2 linked regions of the Lepisosteus oculatus genome follow. The protein of the gene in region 1 purifies or fractionates together with the protein of each later gene. This does not show direct contact. Links are inferred from orthologs where the notes say so. Each region holds a gene or a part of one and is shown in the gene's direction. Other genes may lie near its edges.

Region 1 (7,695 bases):
TCCAACAGTGTCTTGGAATGAGCTGGAGAGTTGAATGCCTGGGATGGGAGAAAATGTGCAAACAACAATATCCCAGTCACTTCACAAAGCTGGCTTGTATGGCACAGTGGAAAAGCCATCTCAGATTCCCAATGGGGTTTGCAATAAAGCATGTAAGTAAGACTGCAAACATGTGGAAAAAGGCTTTGCAGTCAGACAAGACAAAAATGAAACTTTGTGGTCTAAAAGCAAAGTGTTACATATGATGGAAAATCGGCACAGTGCATCACTCAGTCAACACCATTCGTACTGTCAAGCATAGTGGTGGCAGCAGTATGTTATAGTTCTGTTTTTCATCAGCAGAGACTGGAAAGCTTGTCAGGACTGATGGGAACATAGATAGAACAAAGAACTGGCAAATCTTAGACGAAAACTTGCTACCTACTCTAAACTAGGACAGTATTGTCCAGTAGGACAATAATGAAAAACACAAGGTCAAAGCTACACTGGAGGGGCTTAACAGTAAGAAAGTGAAGGTCCCTGAGTGGTCCAGTCAAAGTCCTGACTTGAATCATACTAAGAATCTGTGGAAAGACTTCAAAACAGCAGCCATATCACCCTGCAACTCACAACTGGCAACCCACTGAAGCTAAGCAGGTGTGAGCCTGGTCAGTACCTGGATGGGAGACCTCCTGGGAAAACCTAAGGTTGCTGCTGGAAGAGGTGTTAGTGGGGCCAGCAGGGGGTGCTCACCCTGCGGCTCACGTGGGTCCTAATGCCCCAGTGTAGTGACGGGGACACTATACTGTAAACAGGTGCCGTCCTTCGGCTGAGATGTAAAACCGAGGTCCTGACTCTCTGTGCTCATTAAAAATCCCAGGGTGTTTCTCGAAAAGAGTAGGGGTGTAACCCCGGCATCCTGGCCAAATTTCCCCATCGGCTGTTATCAATCATGGCCTCCTAACAATCCCCCTCTGTGAATTGGCTTCATTACTCTGCTCTCCTCCCCACTGATAGCTGATGTGTGGTGAGCGTTCTGGTGCACTATGGCTGCCGTCGCATCATCCAGGTGGATGCTGCACATTGGTGGTGGTGGTGGAGGGGAGTCCCCATTACCTGTAAAGCGCTTTGAGTGGAGTGTCCAGAAAAAGCGCTATATAAGTGTAAGCAATTATTATTATTATTATTATTAAAACTACTGTCCATAAGCAATCCTCAAGTAACTTGAGAGTGTTTGAGCCAACAGGAAAATTACAGCAGGCCAGTTTGAAAAGTTGATATAGACTTAGACCAAAAAACTTGCAGCTATAATTGTAGACAAACCCACCTAATATTTAATTCACAGATCTGAATACTTATGCAATCAGCAGATTTTTCTCTTTAGGATTTGCTGATATTGGCTGTAATCTACTGTATCTAAATGTTAAATAATAATAATTCCTAACACTTTCATAGCACTTTTCTGGAAACTCCTCAAAGCGCTTTACAGGTAATGGGGACTCCCCTCCACCACCACCAATGTGCTGCCCCACCTGGATGATGCAACCACAGCCATAGTGCACCAGTATGCTCAGCACACATCAGCTATCAGTGGGGAGGAGAACAGAGCAATGAAGCCAATTCATAGATGGGGATTATTAGGAGGCCATGATTGGAAATTTGGCCAGGACGCTGGGGTTCCACCCCTACTCTTTTCAAGAAACGCCCAGGAATATTTAATGGCGTTCTGCTGCAGTATGGTACAGAGTCCCCATTACCTGTGAAGCGCTTTGAGTGGAGTGTCTAGAAGTGAGTAACCAATTATTATTGTAACGCAACGGGGGCTCAGGCGGGCGCCCTTGCCGCATCTGGTCGGCCCCTGCACCGTCCGGGGCTCGAACCCGACTGGAGGTTCGAACCCGGGACTTCCGCGTCTCTCTGCAGCGACCTAGCCCCGTGAGCTAAAGAGAGATCTCTCTACAGCCCAGTAGATGTAGTCCTGCTATCACAGGGAAGGGCGGTGACGTCACCCGCTCTGGTACGCCGGCTCTTACACACAGTGCTTGTCGGCCGTAAGCGTTACACTCTCCCCTGCTTAAATCGCCGTCCCCGGCGAAGGGCTATCCCATCCCACTTCTGACACCACGGCAAGGGCGCCCACCTGAGCCCCCGTTGCGTTACATTGGTGTCTGTAGAGTGTAACGCTTACGGCCGACAGGTACTGTGTAAGAGCCGGCGTACCAGAGCAGGTGACATCACCGCCCTTCCCTGTGATAGCAGGACTACAGCTACTGGGCTGTAGAGAGATCTCTCTTTAGCTCACGGGGCTAGGTCGCTGCAGAGAGACGCGGAAGTCCCGGGTTCGAGCCTCCAGTCGGGATGGGGCCGACCAGATGCGGCAAGGGCGCCCGCCTGAGCCCCCGTTGCGTTACATTGGTGTCAGAAGCGGGGTGGGATAGCCCTTCGCCGGGGACGGCGATTTAAGCGGGGGAGAGTGTAACGCTTACGGCCGACAGGTACTGTGTAAGAGCTGGCGTACCAGAGCAGGTGACGTCACCGCCCTTCCCTGTGATAGCAGGACTACAGCTACTGGGCTGTGGAGAGATCTCTCTTTAGCTCACGGGGCTAGGTCGCTGCAGAGAGACGCGGAAGTCCCGGGTTCGAGCCCCGGACGGTGGAGGGGCCGACCAGATGCGGCAAGGGTGCCCGCCTGAGCCCCCGTTGCGTTACATTATTATTATTAGCACCAATGGCAGATCAGACCAGCACTATTAAAAACTGTGAATAACAGTGCCTTGCTTAAGCAGAAGAAGGCATTCCAAATACAGAGGAACAAGTAAAAGGTTTATTCCATGCTGAAAAAAAGAAGAAAGAGAACACAACGTTTCGGCCGTGGAGCCTTCTTCAGGTGTGAGAGAGACAGGGCAGTAGGCAAAGGTAAAGTAGCGGGAGAACAAAGGTTGGGAGGGAGGAGGAGTGAGAGGCGGGAGCAGGGGACAGAAAGAGAGGCCAATCAAGAGGTGTGAAGTCAGAATGGGTGCAGAGAGGTGTGAAATGAAGCTTCCAATGAATGGAGAAAATTTAAAAGAACAGTAATCTGTCGTTAAGGGAAGGGAGAATGTGTGATCCTAACTGCAGAATAATTTTAGTTTCGGTGGTCTTTCTGATGTATGAGTTCGGAAAACCGTCTTTGAGAACACAGACGGAGAGATTAGTGTGGTCGTGGCTGTCAGAGGTGAAATGAGAAACAATGGGCTTGGAGAGATCTTTAATCTTCACAGCCCTGACGTGTTCTCTGAAGCGGTCTCTGAGTCTCCTTCCTGTTTCTCCAATGTAGATGGCTGGGCATTTACTGCAAGAGATACAGTAAATAAGGTTGCTGGAGGTACAAGATGCTGTCTGGGTGATCCGGAATTGTCCTGAGGGGCCTTGAATGAGTGTGGTGGTGGCTGTGTACTTGCAGGTGATACAGCGAGCTATCTGTTCCAAATACAGATACAACTACATTAATCAAGCCCTACTCCTCCTATGACTGTTGCCTTCAGTAATGATGCAGCCACATGGAAAAGTGCACGAGTCACATTGTGTATACTGGACAGAGCCGAGACAAGCTGGTTGCCAGAATCGCAGTAAGAGGTCTGTGGTTTTGAAGAGAAAATGTGAACAAGGTGGAATGCAACTCCTATCCAAGAAGCATTTTTGTTTTCATTTTCTAGAATGAGGCAGTTGTTCATTGTAAGCTGTGTTGTAGAAAATGAAATACCTTAGATTCCTAAAATGTGATGTAGGATTTATTTTGTTTTGCTTACTTCTGTTTGAAAGTAAGAGGAGGGAAGTGTGACGTCGGTTGAGATAAAGAACAGAATTCACCGAGCAAAGGAAATAGCTCAGACGTTTTACAGTGACATTTCCCAGAAATTACCCCATTCCCACTGGCAACTCTCAAAGAAATCAAAATATTTTTTTTTGAGTAAAGAATTATTTACACTATTTGATTTTTATATTGGACTGAGTATTCTTTTTGACTGCCTCTTTTATAACCCAAGAAAGTGTCAAGTTATTTCCATTACAAAAGATCTCATGTGGTTTCACATACAGTATTCAATTGAATATACGTTTCTATAGAAATAAGAACATTGGCAGTTATTTACAATGTTAAACTGGAAAAACCACCTTAGTTTTAAGTCATATGCAAAAATACAGAGTTCATCTGGGGGTTTGTACGAGAGAACCTTAAAAAATATTTTAAAATATACCAAAATTAAAAAAAAGATCAACCATTATATTCTCAAAAATATACTAAAAGGGATGTAAATAGAAACAAAAATGATTCGAGAACAGATATAACTTATCAACAGTGGATATAAATGCAAATCAAAATATTACATTTCTAAATTAGATTCTAGGGCACCAGATAAATTCAAATTTGTTTGTGTACTTCTCTTAATTGTGATGATTTTAGCTTTAATTGCTGCTTCAAACTAGAACAGGTCGTTAATGTTAACATTTATTGTGATTGAAATAAAACCTTTTCCAACCTTTTTCGATTATGAAATGAGTTTTAGGTTATATATAGCCATTCAAGTAAGATTAAACGTGGGTCCTCTTTTTTCGTCGAACCTGCTAGAGCTAATTTTTCCTAGTGGAAAAAGCAGCAGCGCTGCAGCGAAAGTGCTGATCGTGTGTAGGCCCTTTGTTTACTTGTTTCCTGAGATTTCATCATTCTGTCCCTGCTTCACTACTACCGGTCTTTTCGGTCCATGCGTTTGAGAGCTGCACCCGCCCTGCTGAGGTCCTGCATCGAGACTGCTGCTCTCTTTGTAGCACCCAGGGCACTGTCAGCGCCGCATCGGCTCCACCGTCCGCACGAACACAGGCTCTTCTCTTTGTCGGCCTGCTTGTTGAAGAAAAACAAGGAAAGCCTTTGGCAACAGCTTGCAAGAGGAAGAAGTATGGACGGCAATATCGAAGAGGTGCTGGCTCCTCTGAGACAGGCAGTGAAAGAGCAGGTGGGACAATAATGAACGGTTAAGTTCCGGTATTCGGGCTGCTATTATTTGTCATAATTGATGCTGTTACGGCCTATTAACTGTACTGCCAAATTAAGTTTTAAACGAGAGATCACAACTCCTGGACATGTTGATTAATATATATATATGTGTGGAACGTCGAATATTAATGTTACTTTGACATTTGACCTCCCTCGATGCATTGTCAGGTGAATCTTTAATGTGGACAATAAAAGCATCAGTTTCCTGATTGAGTCAGTAATCTCGATGTTCTTTAAAATCACCAATCAATACAACCCAAGACGAAGGGCATGTAAAACGTATATAAAGACATGCAGTACACGTTAGCATGGCTTAAAGATCTGAACCATCTCATTTTGCATTATTTTTTGAAAATATCAGTTCAGCGGCATACCAGATCCTGACTCCCTGACTTTCTTTCAGATGTTCTGGAATGTGCGGTTGTGATTTTTTTTTGTTATACTTGAAATTACAGTTTAGTTATGCTTGTTAAGTATTATTGGAAACCCCTTTATTTCGCAGTTTTGGATTGCTGGTGTGCCCGCGTTATTAAATTGGCGCACCTGTGTAAGAGTCAAGTGTGTACAGGTAATATACACTGTATGTTGCGCTCAAATAGTCTAATCAGCAATGCAGAGGCTCTACAGTGCCACGTTTAAGCCTCCATCAGCATCACGAAGTCAGAGGGGAGGAGTGAATATGTTGGCGATTCCTGTCTTTTCATAGTTGTTCATGGCAGGATTAAATCTTTGTGGCCCTGTAGTACGTACAGCGGCGTAGTTCGGTTTTTTGTCCCCATTGTTGAAAGGAAATCTTTAAAAAGATCTTTCTAGTGAGCAAAAAGTGGCGAGTAGCTTAAGTCCCAATTTGATCAGCTTTATCAGTTTTGGTACTGATTTATTTGTCGCCGTTAAGAAAAGTGTCTTGCATTATCTAAGAACATATCACGGTGTAATTGCAGTCGGCTTTTGACAATGTCACAGTTATAAGACATGAACGTTTTCTCGCATGGGAATGAATGTCGCGCATGTCATAAATGCTTTGAATACTTAAAGAAACCCCCCAAAAAATTCTTTGAACGTTTAAATCACAATTTCTGCCTTTTGGAGGTGCGGTCTCTGCCTCTGTAATACCGTATTTACTGTTTCTGCGCGATAAAAAATAACAGCAGTTGTAATGTGAAATAAACTTTACACCTATGCAAATGAAGTCCCCACGGGCTTGGTGCCTGTTTATGATGCTCTATAACTAAGCGAGCAGGCAGGAAAACCATTAGTCCTTAGTCATTGGTGATCCAACTTGAGGTCATAACTTGAGATCCTAGCAATGATTTTAAAATGAAAACAAAATGTATTTAAAATGCATTGATCATTGGAAAAAATATTGAAAATATGATCAATTTCATTGCATTATTTAAAAGCAATCTAATACTACTAAAAGCGGTCTAATACTACTAGAATTATTACATCAGAACAAAAGTGTTGGTTGCACCGAATGCTTTACTCTGAAAAACAGAACACTATAAAACCCTGCCATTGTAAATCTGCACTGATTTTAGATCCTTTTTTTTTTAATTATGGCAGTATCTCAAAATTTTTATAATGTCTATGTAGTTTCACTAAATTTTACCTTTTTAAAGGTTGGGATGTTGTTTATGTTCTCTTCCCAGGGTGACTTGGTGCGCAGACTGAAGAGTGAGAATGCCCCTGATGTGGACATTAGCAAAGCCGTGGCAGAGTTGAAGGCCCGTAAGAGGATACTGGAGGCTAAGGTACAGATTTCTGCCTTCATACTGTATGTTAAGGGCAGTTGTTTGTCATGCAGTTGGCACAGGTGTGTTTTTTTGCACCACTGTTTTGGTGGGTTTTTTTAGTCTCAAAGTCCTGACTGGTTTTATAGTTTTTAAGGGGAGTGTTTGAGTTTATTGCAAGGTTCCAGTATTAGCGCAGTAGATATTGGTTTTATTGCCAAGAAAATAAAACACATTAATAAATTTGCAATGGATGAATGCCAAAAAAGAACTTATTACCACTAATATCTGAGTTAATCCCTGTTTTCCTATCTCTTATTGCTGTACTGGAAAAATAAATTGCTACTCCAGAGATCACAGAAGTCGTATGCAGATAGGCTTTATTTACAAGCATGCAAGAGGGATTTGCCTCAGAAACCTCCCATGACTGTAGCAGGAATTTTATACAGTAAAAGTTTTTATATACATCACTGATGTTGAATCCATGTAAGGAAGTTCCCCTTTTGGGTGAGTTTTATATCCCTTTTTCTGTTCAGTGGTAAAACATTTTTTTATAACCACAAGGGCAATTGTGGCAAAACAGTTTTAGGGAAAATGCATAATTTGCAAAACAACTCAAATTTTAAAAAATGTACTTGTACTGGCTTAGTTGGCATACAACTTAATTCCCCTCGATTAACCCACAAGACATTGTCTTTATGATGTTAATTCCACACCTTTGGTGCAAGTATCCATTTTTTTCCATAATCCCAGAACATTAAGAATGTGATTCTTCCCCTCTTGGATAGCTCATTTATTGATGCTATCTTCAGGGAAATCAGTAAAACTTAACAGTTCATTCTGATCTGCCCTTTAAAGGCCTAGATACCACCAGTTTGCCCACAACATTCATGCCTACTGTAATTCTCTTTTATACCTAAATTGCAGAACTTGGTACATTATCAGTATTGGTAATGT
Region 2 (7,862 bases), on another chromosome or scaffold:
GGAGTGGAAGGTGATGAAGCCTGACATCTATGCAGCCATCATGGATTTCTTCAGCTCAGGGCTGCCAGTGGTCAATGAGGACACCCCTCGTGCAGATACAGGTACCTGTCCCCTTGGAGAAGGTACTTCTGGTATTAAAAAGACCAGCAGGCAATAAATGCTGTTTCCCAGCAATACTCCCTAATAACCTGACCTGATATCAAACTAATATACTGCCATGTTGCTCACACTAGTTACCCAGATGTACCCTCGGATTTTCTACTACTTTTGCCAAACAGAAATTCTAATATCCAGAATAAGTCCACACTGTGAGATCTGTAACTATTGAACATCCTCTTTCTTTGCTTTTGTAATTAACGGCATGAAGGGTTATGGCTATTTCACTGACATTTCTGGTTGTGCCTGGTTAGTTTTGCTCCCCGCCTGCACCTGTATCCCTCATTAAAGGGAGACAAAAGGTGGAATTTTGATGAGAAAATCACCAGTGTTTAGGCTGATGCCCTTTCTAGTAGAGCTGCTACAGGGCCCCACATAAAATTCAGATTTCAAATGTGTAAATTGCACAAGAGAACAATCAATCTCATGAATCTAACATTGTTTGAATGCCTGTTTTTTTTTTCTCGGTGATTCTCGTCTCTGCAGCACCCTCAGAAGAGGATGATGAAGTTGTCTCCATGATCAAAGAGCTTTTGGACACCCGCATCAGGTTCTGCCTAATTAACAGTACTGTTTTGGTGGTTGTTAATAAACTACAATGTGTATAGGAACAAGAAAAGTTTTATTCCATGCCAAAAAGGGAAGAAAGGAACCACAGCGTTTCAGCTGTGGAGCCTTCTTCGGTTGTGTCACCATGCTCTTTTCAGCATGGAATAAACCTTGACTTGTTCGTTTGCAGCCCATGCATGCTGTCACAGATACCTACTTGAAATCCAATGTGTATATTCAAACTTCAATTCATTCTGCCTTCCTTGGACAGTTTGTGCCTTTGTTTTAATTGTGCCTCCATTTCACAGCCTTTCACAGTTGATTAATCGTCTTGTGTACTTGAATCCACAGAATCAGTCAGAAACAACGCGAGACTCTGTAAACTCTGCTGTACGTTGAAGTGGCTCTTGCCGTTTCTGATTCTGTTCTTTTTTTCTCTTCTTTTCCTCCATTCCCAGGCCTACAGTTCAGGAAGACGGCGGCGATGTTCTTTACCGGGGCTTTGAGGACGGGATCGTGAAGCTCAAACTGCAGGGCTCCTGCACCAGCTGCCCCAGCTCGGTCATCACTCTTCGTAGTGGTATCCAGAACATGCTGCAGTTCTACATCCCAGAGGTGGAGGGAGTGGAGCAGGTAGGCACCGGGACAAACACAGGCACTGAAAGTAACATGATGCACCCCCAATGTTCATGTTTAGGCACAGACACTGAAATGGAAACATGCACATACACATGATTAATGATACAGATGTATGTTTTGTGGTCAAAAATAAAAAAAAACAAACAATTGAAAGTCTTTTATTAAGGTGTTGGGGATCATGCACCAGTATGGCCTTTATGTGCCATGACATAGAATCTACCAGTGTCTAGAGTTCTATAAGACGGATGCAGCACTGTTCTTCCATGAGAAAGTCAGTCAAGTCATACCTGGTTAATAGAAGAAAATTCTCTCTCAAGCACCATTGCAGAATAAATGCTCGATTGGCTTCAGATCTGGTGAACTGAGAAGGCCATGACATCGAGATAGTAGTGTCATGCTCGGCTGTAGAGTTCTTCAGCTTGGCCCCAGGTGTGCCATCATTCGTTGTTCAAGAACATAATAAAGGATGATTCATCTGTCCATATCGCATTTCTCCTGCTACTCTGTAGACCATTGCCTGTGCTATTTGCACAACTGGACTTTCAAACATGCATTGCAATGAGTGGTTTGTGTACTGCAAGCCGTATAAATGGCTGACCCTGTGCTCTGACCCCCAGCTTCTCTCCCTGTCTGTGTTTCATGGAGAGCAAGCTGGGGTATGCAAAAATACAAATTCCTAATACAAGAAATTGTATATGGCCAATAAAGTGATCTTAAACCATTTCTTCACTAGCAACCAGTGAATAACAAAGGCAGTGTCAGGCAATGACTGTAATTCATCTTTTTTTGTTGTTGCAGGTAAAAGATGAGGAGGAAGAAATGGAACAGGGGACCAAGACCTGAGAATGAGTGTATCAGGCCCTGGCTAAGATGTGTGCATTGCTACTTTCCCCCTCAACCCTTTCTGTTGAATCAAGCAGGTTCAGGAACTAGTCCACCATCCCAGTGTTTTAATGTAGCTAATTTAAGACGGAGTCTGTAGTTCTGGGAAGTGCGTATGTATAGCCAGAATCACACTAAGTTTTAAGGAAAAAAAAATCCATACTCCACCATGGAGACGTTAGGTCACTGAGTGACAGACAGTGTGTGCTAGAAAGAGCTATAGCTTACCTACAGCCCCCAACTCTGTGCTGCATTATTTTTGTGTCCGAAGAACCAGGCTTTTGAAAGTTTTTTTTAATCTTTAGGTTGAAAGTGTTCATTAGATCTCCTTGCATGCTTTATAAATTGAGACTTGATATTTATTATGGAAATGATTGCAAGGAAAGCAGGCCTAAATTGTGCCAATATTCTTGGCTGCAGTGATTCACATGCCAGGACTCCTGCCCAAAATGCTTTTAAATGGCTTATTCTGATATTTTCCAGTTTTTTTCAAATTAAGTTAAAATAAGTAAAAATATTATAATATGTATTTAAAATATACTGTTTCTTCATTTATATCAAATGGTCTTGGTATGTTATTGGGAAACAGTTGTGTAAATACTATTTCTGTTAAAGATAAGAATTTGCTGATTAGATACTTGAAATTGTCACTTTTATTAACTTATATTCTCAGAATGTGGAGTTATTTTGTATATGTGAAATGCTTCGTTTCATGACCAGTACCAGTTATTTCACATCAGAACAGAGAAGAAATGTGTCCGATAAAAGTTTTTAATGAGAATTGTTACCTGTGAATTCAGACTAAAAGTCTATGGGATTGTTAATATGGTTTTAAACTGATTTGCCCCTTTATGCAAGACTGTTTTGTGTAAGATGTTGTGTAAGAAACACTGAAATTGTAGGGATATTTCTTGAATTGGAAGTGTAACAAGAAAGAAAAGTGGCATTTGGGATCTCATTGTCTCATTTTTCTACAGAGAAATGTATTTGCGTTTCCTCAACAAGATCGCCTATATTTAGCAATACAAATGCATGCGTGTTTTAGTGTTACACGTGATACCTCAAGTAAAAAGCACATCACTGAAAGAAAACTCCAAAAGAACATTAAGTGTGAACAAATGTTAGATCATTTCTTACCACCTAGTTTCTGTAAAATGTTTGCCTTTATTTTCATTACATTTTCATTTGCCAGTCCATGTTTTTAGAGGAAGGTAGAATGGTGACACTGGATGTTGGAACATGAGGTTACAAACAAGGAGACTGCACTGCTGAGATGGGCGTTTCCATACATGAGAATCCTCGGAGAACAGGTCTCTCACTGGAGAAATATTTGGTTGATTCCATGCTGGAAAGAGAAAAAAGGAAACAATGTTTCGGCTGTGGAGCTTTCTCTGGGTTTAAGAAAGATAAGGCAGTCAGTAAAGATAATATAGCCTGGGAAAACAAAAGCCAGGAGAGAGGAGGAGGCAGGAGCAGGGGAGAGGCAGAGTGGCCGATCATTTGGTGCGAGGGCGAGAGAGGGGTGAGACGAAACCCCTTACACCCAGAGAAGGCTCCACAGCCGAAACATTGTTTTCTTCTCTTTTCAGCATGGAATAAACCTATTACTTGTTCCTTCGCAGCCTACGCCTGCTGACGCAGCTACCCACCTGGATAAATATTTGTACGCACAGACGAATCCTTTGACTAATCCTTTTTTTTTTCACTTTATAATCCAAGCAGTTTGAAATTGCCTAACATGACTCCATGCCACACCGCAGGCCTGTGCTGAAATCTCCCACGTCTCTTTTGTGAACCACAATTTCAGATTTTGCATATATGGTAGATTCCAAATGAATAGGGATTATGAACTAAAAACAACTAATTGTAAAGTGAAAAAAATAAAGAATTAAGATGCCTCGGAACCGTTCGTGAAATCGTATGATATAAAGGAACAAGTAAAGGTTTATTCCATGCTGAAAAGAGAAGAAATGTTTCGGCTGTGGATCCTTTTTCGGGTGTGATACAAAGGCAATGCCACAGAAGTAAGAGAACACATTTATACAGCTGCACTCGTAAAACACGCATATAACTGGAAACATGACTGACGTATTTAAAAAATCAACCCAGAGAACTACTTTAGGACCAGCAATGAAACTAAGCCAAAGGAGCACACGCAGAAAAAGTACATTTAGGATTAAAATCAGGGATCACTTCACAATTCGGCGCTTGATCGGAGTGGAGTCTGGGATAAACTACCCAGCCATGTTGTAATAGGTTACGCATGTGTCTGAGAAAAGGCTTTAAGCACGTACACGTCTGTTTTTGATGTGACGACATCCTGCAGTCCAGGGCATCTCTGCTATAACGAGAGACCTGAAATTGACATCTTGCCTAGTGGGTGCTCCTTGTCTCTCCTGTGAGCTTGTAGGACCCTCCTTCGCCGACCTCCCTTTCTCTCCTTCGTAGAGGCGGATCTGCGCATCCTGCTGCCACGTCTAAACTGCTGTCGTCGCCAGGTAACGGGAGTGACAGCATTTGAACGAATCGGACAGGGCCATGTAGGTGGTTACCTGGATGGTGACCAATGGGATTAGAGATGAGGCGGGGCTTGTACAACAAGGCTTCTGAGGAGGAACTAGAATCGCCTTGGCAGCCAAGACGTAGACATGTGTGGTGAGTGAAATCTGCCTACTATTAGCGGTATATCTTTATTACTTTTATATTGAATTTTTAAATAATATTCTAGGCAGACGAGATACAACGTGCGAAGGATTACGTGTTCTGCTTCGATAGGAGTATGAAGTTACCTCTGCGGTCTTTGTACTGTATTGTCCCATAGGCATATTAAAATATCACCCTGCTTCACCCGAACAGTGTGGTTTAGATTATTGTGATCGATCACATCATTTGCGCGTCAAGTCGGATATGTTCCTGCCTTTGCTTGACGGATATAGGCTATAAAGAAATATATTGTTAGGAAAACATGGCCTGAGTACAACATCCCTACCCTCGAATGATTAATACCTGTAACAATTCCGGAGCGGCACAGGTAGTAGGATTAGAATTATGCATCATATTACTACACGGGAAAACCCGTAAGTATTTACACTTATAGTTTCTTTTACGACACTTTTTTTAACTAAATACCCACTGTTTGTGGGTGTAGTCGATAGACACTTGGCTACTACCTTGTAGTACAAGTTGGAGTATCAGTCGCTGCTGTTTCATTTTCCAGCACGTAAATCTTTCGTTTTAATGTTCCTTTTCTGCAAACATGCTCTCGGTCAGCATGTGCAGAAGGCTGGTTAACTATCTGGGCGGAACTGGGCTGTGAGGGCCTTAAGGGAAAATCTTCTCTTTTAGAGAAGTGTTTATCTGACAGACTGTAGCAGAGCGCACGATTTTTGTTTCCAAAGGATGAGTGAGATTGTGCAGGGAGACGTACTGTAGGAACTGCTGGCGGCGGTGGGTCACATAGCATTTTAGCCTTTACACAGCAACAAAATGTGATTTTAAAACGCTGGATTCTATCGCCTTAATTTTCATTTTTCTTGCTTTTGGATACCATTGCCAGAGATGCAAATAAGAGTAACAATCCATAGCAGTCTGGCTCATTGTTGTTCATATTAATTACTGGCATGTTTACTGCTTTTTCTGATGATGAAGAAAAACATCTGGATAACTGTTGTCCGTCTTAATATAAACTCAATGCTTTTGGAAGTTAATTGTCTAGACTCCACATTACATTAAAGCGGAAATGGCTATGGTATAATATGAGTCTTATGTCTCTGTTGACATTAACACCTTGACATTGTTACCATTACTTAGAAATAATCTGAATGCCATTCATAATGATATTTCTTCTCATCAATGTCCATTTTGAATTGGGTTGGGAAGGTGGAAGGTATTTCACTTTTGAGACTATTAAGCACACTATTAATTAACTGAGAATTATTTCAGAAGCTTCAACATTCTGTACTTTTTTGCACAATACAAGCATTTTAGAAATGTAAAAGCACACCTGAAATTACAGTCCTGCTGTAACTGAAAGCAGTCATTTTACACTATCAGACATTTTCTCAGTTGCGATCTGGATGTTTTACACAACTGGCTGATTGCAGATATATTTGTCTTCTTTAAGGTGGTGTGTTTTAGAAATCTTCAGGACAGTTACACAGCAGGTCTGAACTCAGATGACACTCATTGCCCTTGTGAATCCAGTAGAGTCCTGGGCAGAGTCCTGCTTGTCTAGGATTGAGCAAAACCTACTGCTTGGTTTATTTGTCTGTGTGCTGTGGTGAGAAATAGGTTCTGCAGTGGCAACCCCTACCACCATTCTTTCTCTGATGAGTGATTACATCCAGTGCTAAACCAAGCTGTTGTTCCCATATCTCCATTGTGGGCAATGAAGCAGAAAATAGAGCTGAAATAAAGTTATGTGTTATTGTTTTATACTTATATACTTTTTGTTCTTGATCTTAAAACGCCTAACATGAAAAACTGAAGCCGTGTAATATAGTACTTCATTCTTTGAATTTTGTCTAGCTTAAAGGCAACCAAAAACTGAAATAACAATCCTCATGCTAGAGAAACAGACAGCAGTTTTAAACATGCCTAGTTTAGTAGAATCAGTGGTAGGATAATTTCCTCTCATACTTTGAGAAACTAGTTTATTACTGCAGTAGCTGGTTTTTAGGATTAGCAGTATATTGTCATAACAGAAACAGGAAATGAACCTCTTCGTTCTATTCAATAACCTACTCCTTAAGGATAACGACAAAGCCCTCAGGCAGTTTCTTGACTTCATCCCACTGTGTTACTAGTTTCCGTGTACCTGTGGGACGAGTAGTGCTATATCCAAAACACTCGTTTCTTGTTGTTTAGATTAAAGATCCCAAGAATGACAATTCTCTACTGGGTCTTGCTAAAAAAACACAGTTACTTTAGAATGTACCAAGACAAGCCAGCTCCACCTTGTATCGAAACAGTCCACTATCACATATAGCTGATGATTTGATCGGGTTCCTGGGTGATTTTGTAAAGCTCCTCTTTTCACATAACGTGGCTTTTTGTACTTTTGCAAACTGAACCCGTTTGCCAGCAAAGAAATCAGTCAATGTTGCATAGGTTATAAACAAGAAGGAGGGTGACGGTTATTCATGAAAGCAGAAGCATAGAAAGCACATGACCTGCTGTGTATAATCATAAGGAGTTTTATAAATGGACAAAAACAACTTGATGGAGGCATCCGTGCATGGGAATGGGGTGCTTGTGTTTTTTGGGATGCTCAGGAAGACCTTTGGACATATTCATCACTTTATCACAAATTTTGTAAGGCACTTCTGCTTTTCCAGTCATCACAATTGATATCTTATAATGCAGGTAGAAACACTTAATCCTTAGGGCATGTACTGTACAGTTACTCTCTTACAAGTGATGTGTTCTGAGTATTAGTATCCTGATAGAAAATCAGGTGTTATTTTGAGCTAGAGAATGTCCCTCTCATTTTCTCTCTCCCACTCTTCATCCCCCTCCTTTAAAGTTTCTCACTACAAAGGATAGCCTTGTTTTTAGAAACCTCACCCTCAGCCAGACCATCATAGTCCTATAGTCCAGGAGTCTCAGTGCCCAGCTGTTCTCAATGGAGGCCTTGT

The links. The genes of interacting proteins can lie anywhere in the genome.
Region 2: the proteins of gars1 (region 1) and gfpt1 fractionate together in Homo sapiens (co-fractionation; 3 studies listed by BioGRID, with this or other methods). This does not show direct contact. The link is inferred for Lepisosteus oculatus from reciprocal best matches to the Homo sapiens genes GARS1 and GFPT1.

The regions. Positions count from the first base shown.
Region 1 is NC_090701.1:34,440,936-34,448,630, reverse strand, and holds the start of gars1 (glycine--tRNA ligase), read left to right. Parts: upstream 1-4,670; 5' UTR 4,671-4,718; coding exon 4,719-4,967; intron 4,968-6,657; coding exon 6,658-6,759; intron 6,760-7,695. UniProt on the Homo sapiens protein: Catalyzes the ATP-dependent ligation of glycine to the 3'-end of its cognate tRNA, via the formation of an aminoacyl-adenylate intermediate (Gly-AMP).
Region 2 is NC_090697.1:72,531,682-72,539,543, reverse strand, and holds the start of gfpt1 (glutamine--fructose-6-phosphate aminotransferase [isomerizing] 1), read left to right. Parts: upstream 1-4,756; 5' UTR 4,757-4,874; coding exon 4,875-4,881; intron 4,882-7,862. Other genes in the region: NFU1 iron-sulfur cluster scaffold homolog, mitochondrial, read left to right, coding at 1-101, 643-706, 1,164-1,338, 2,143-2,187.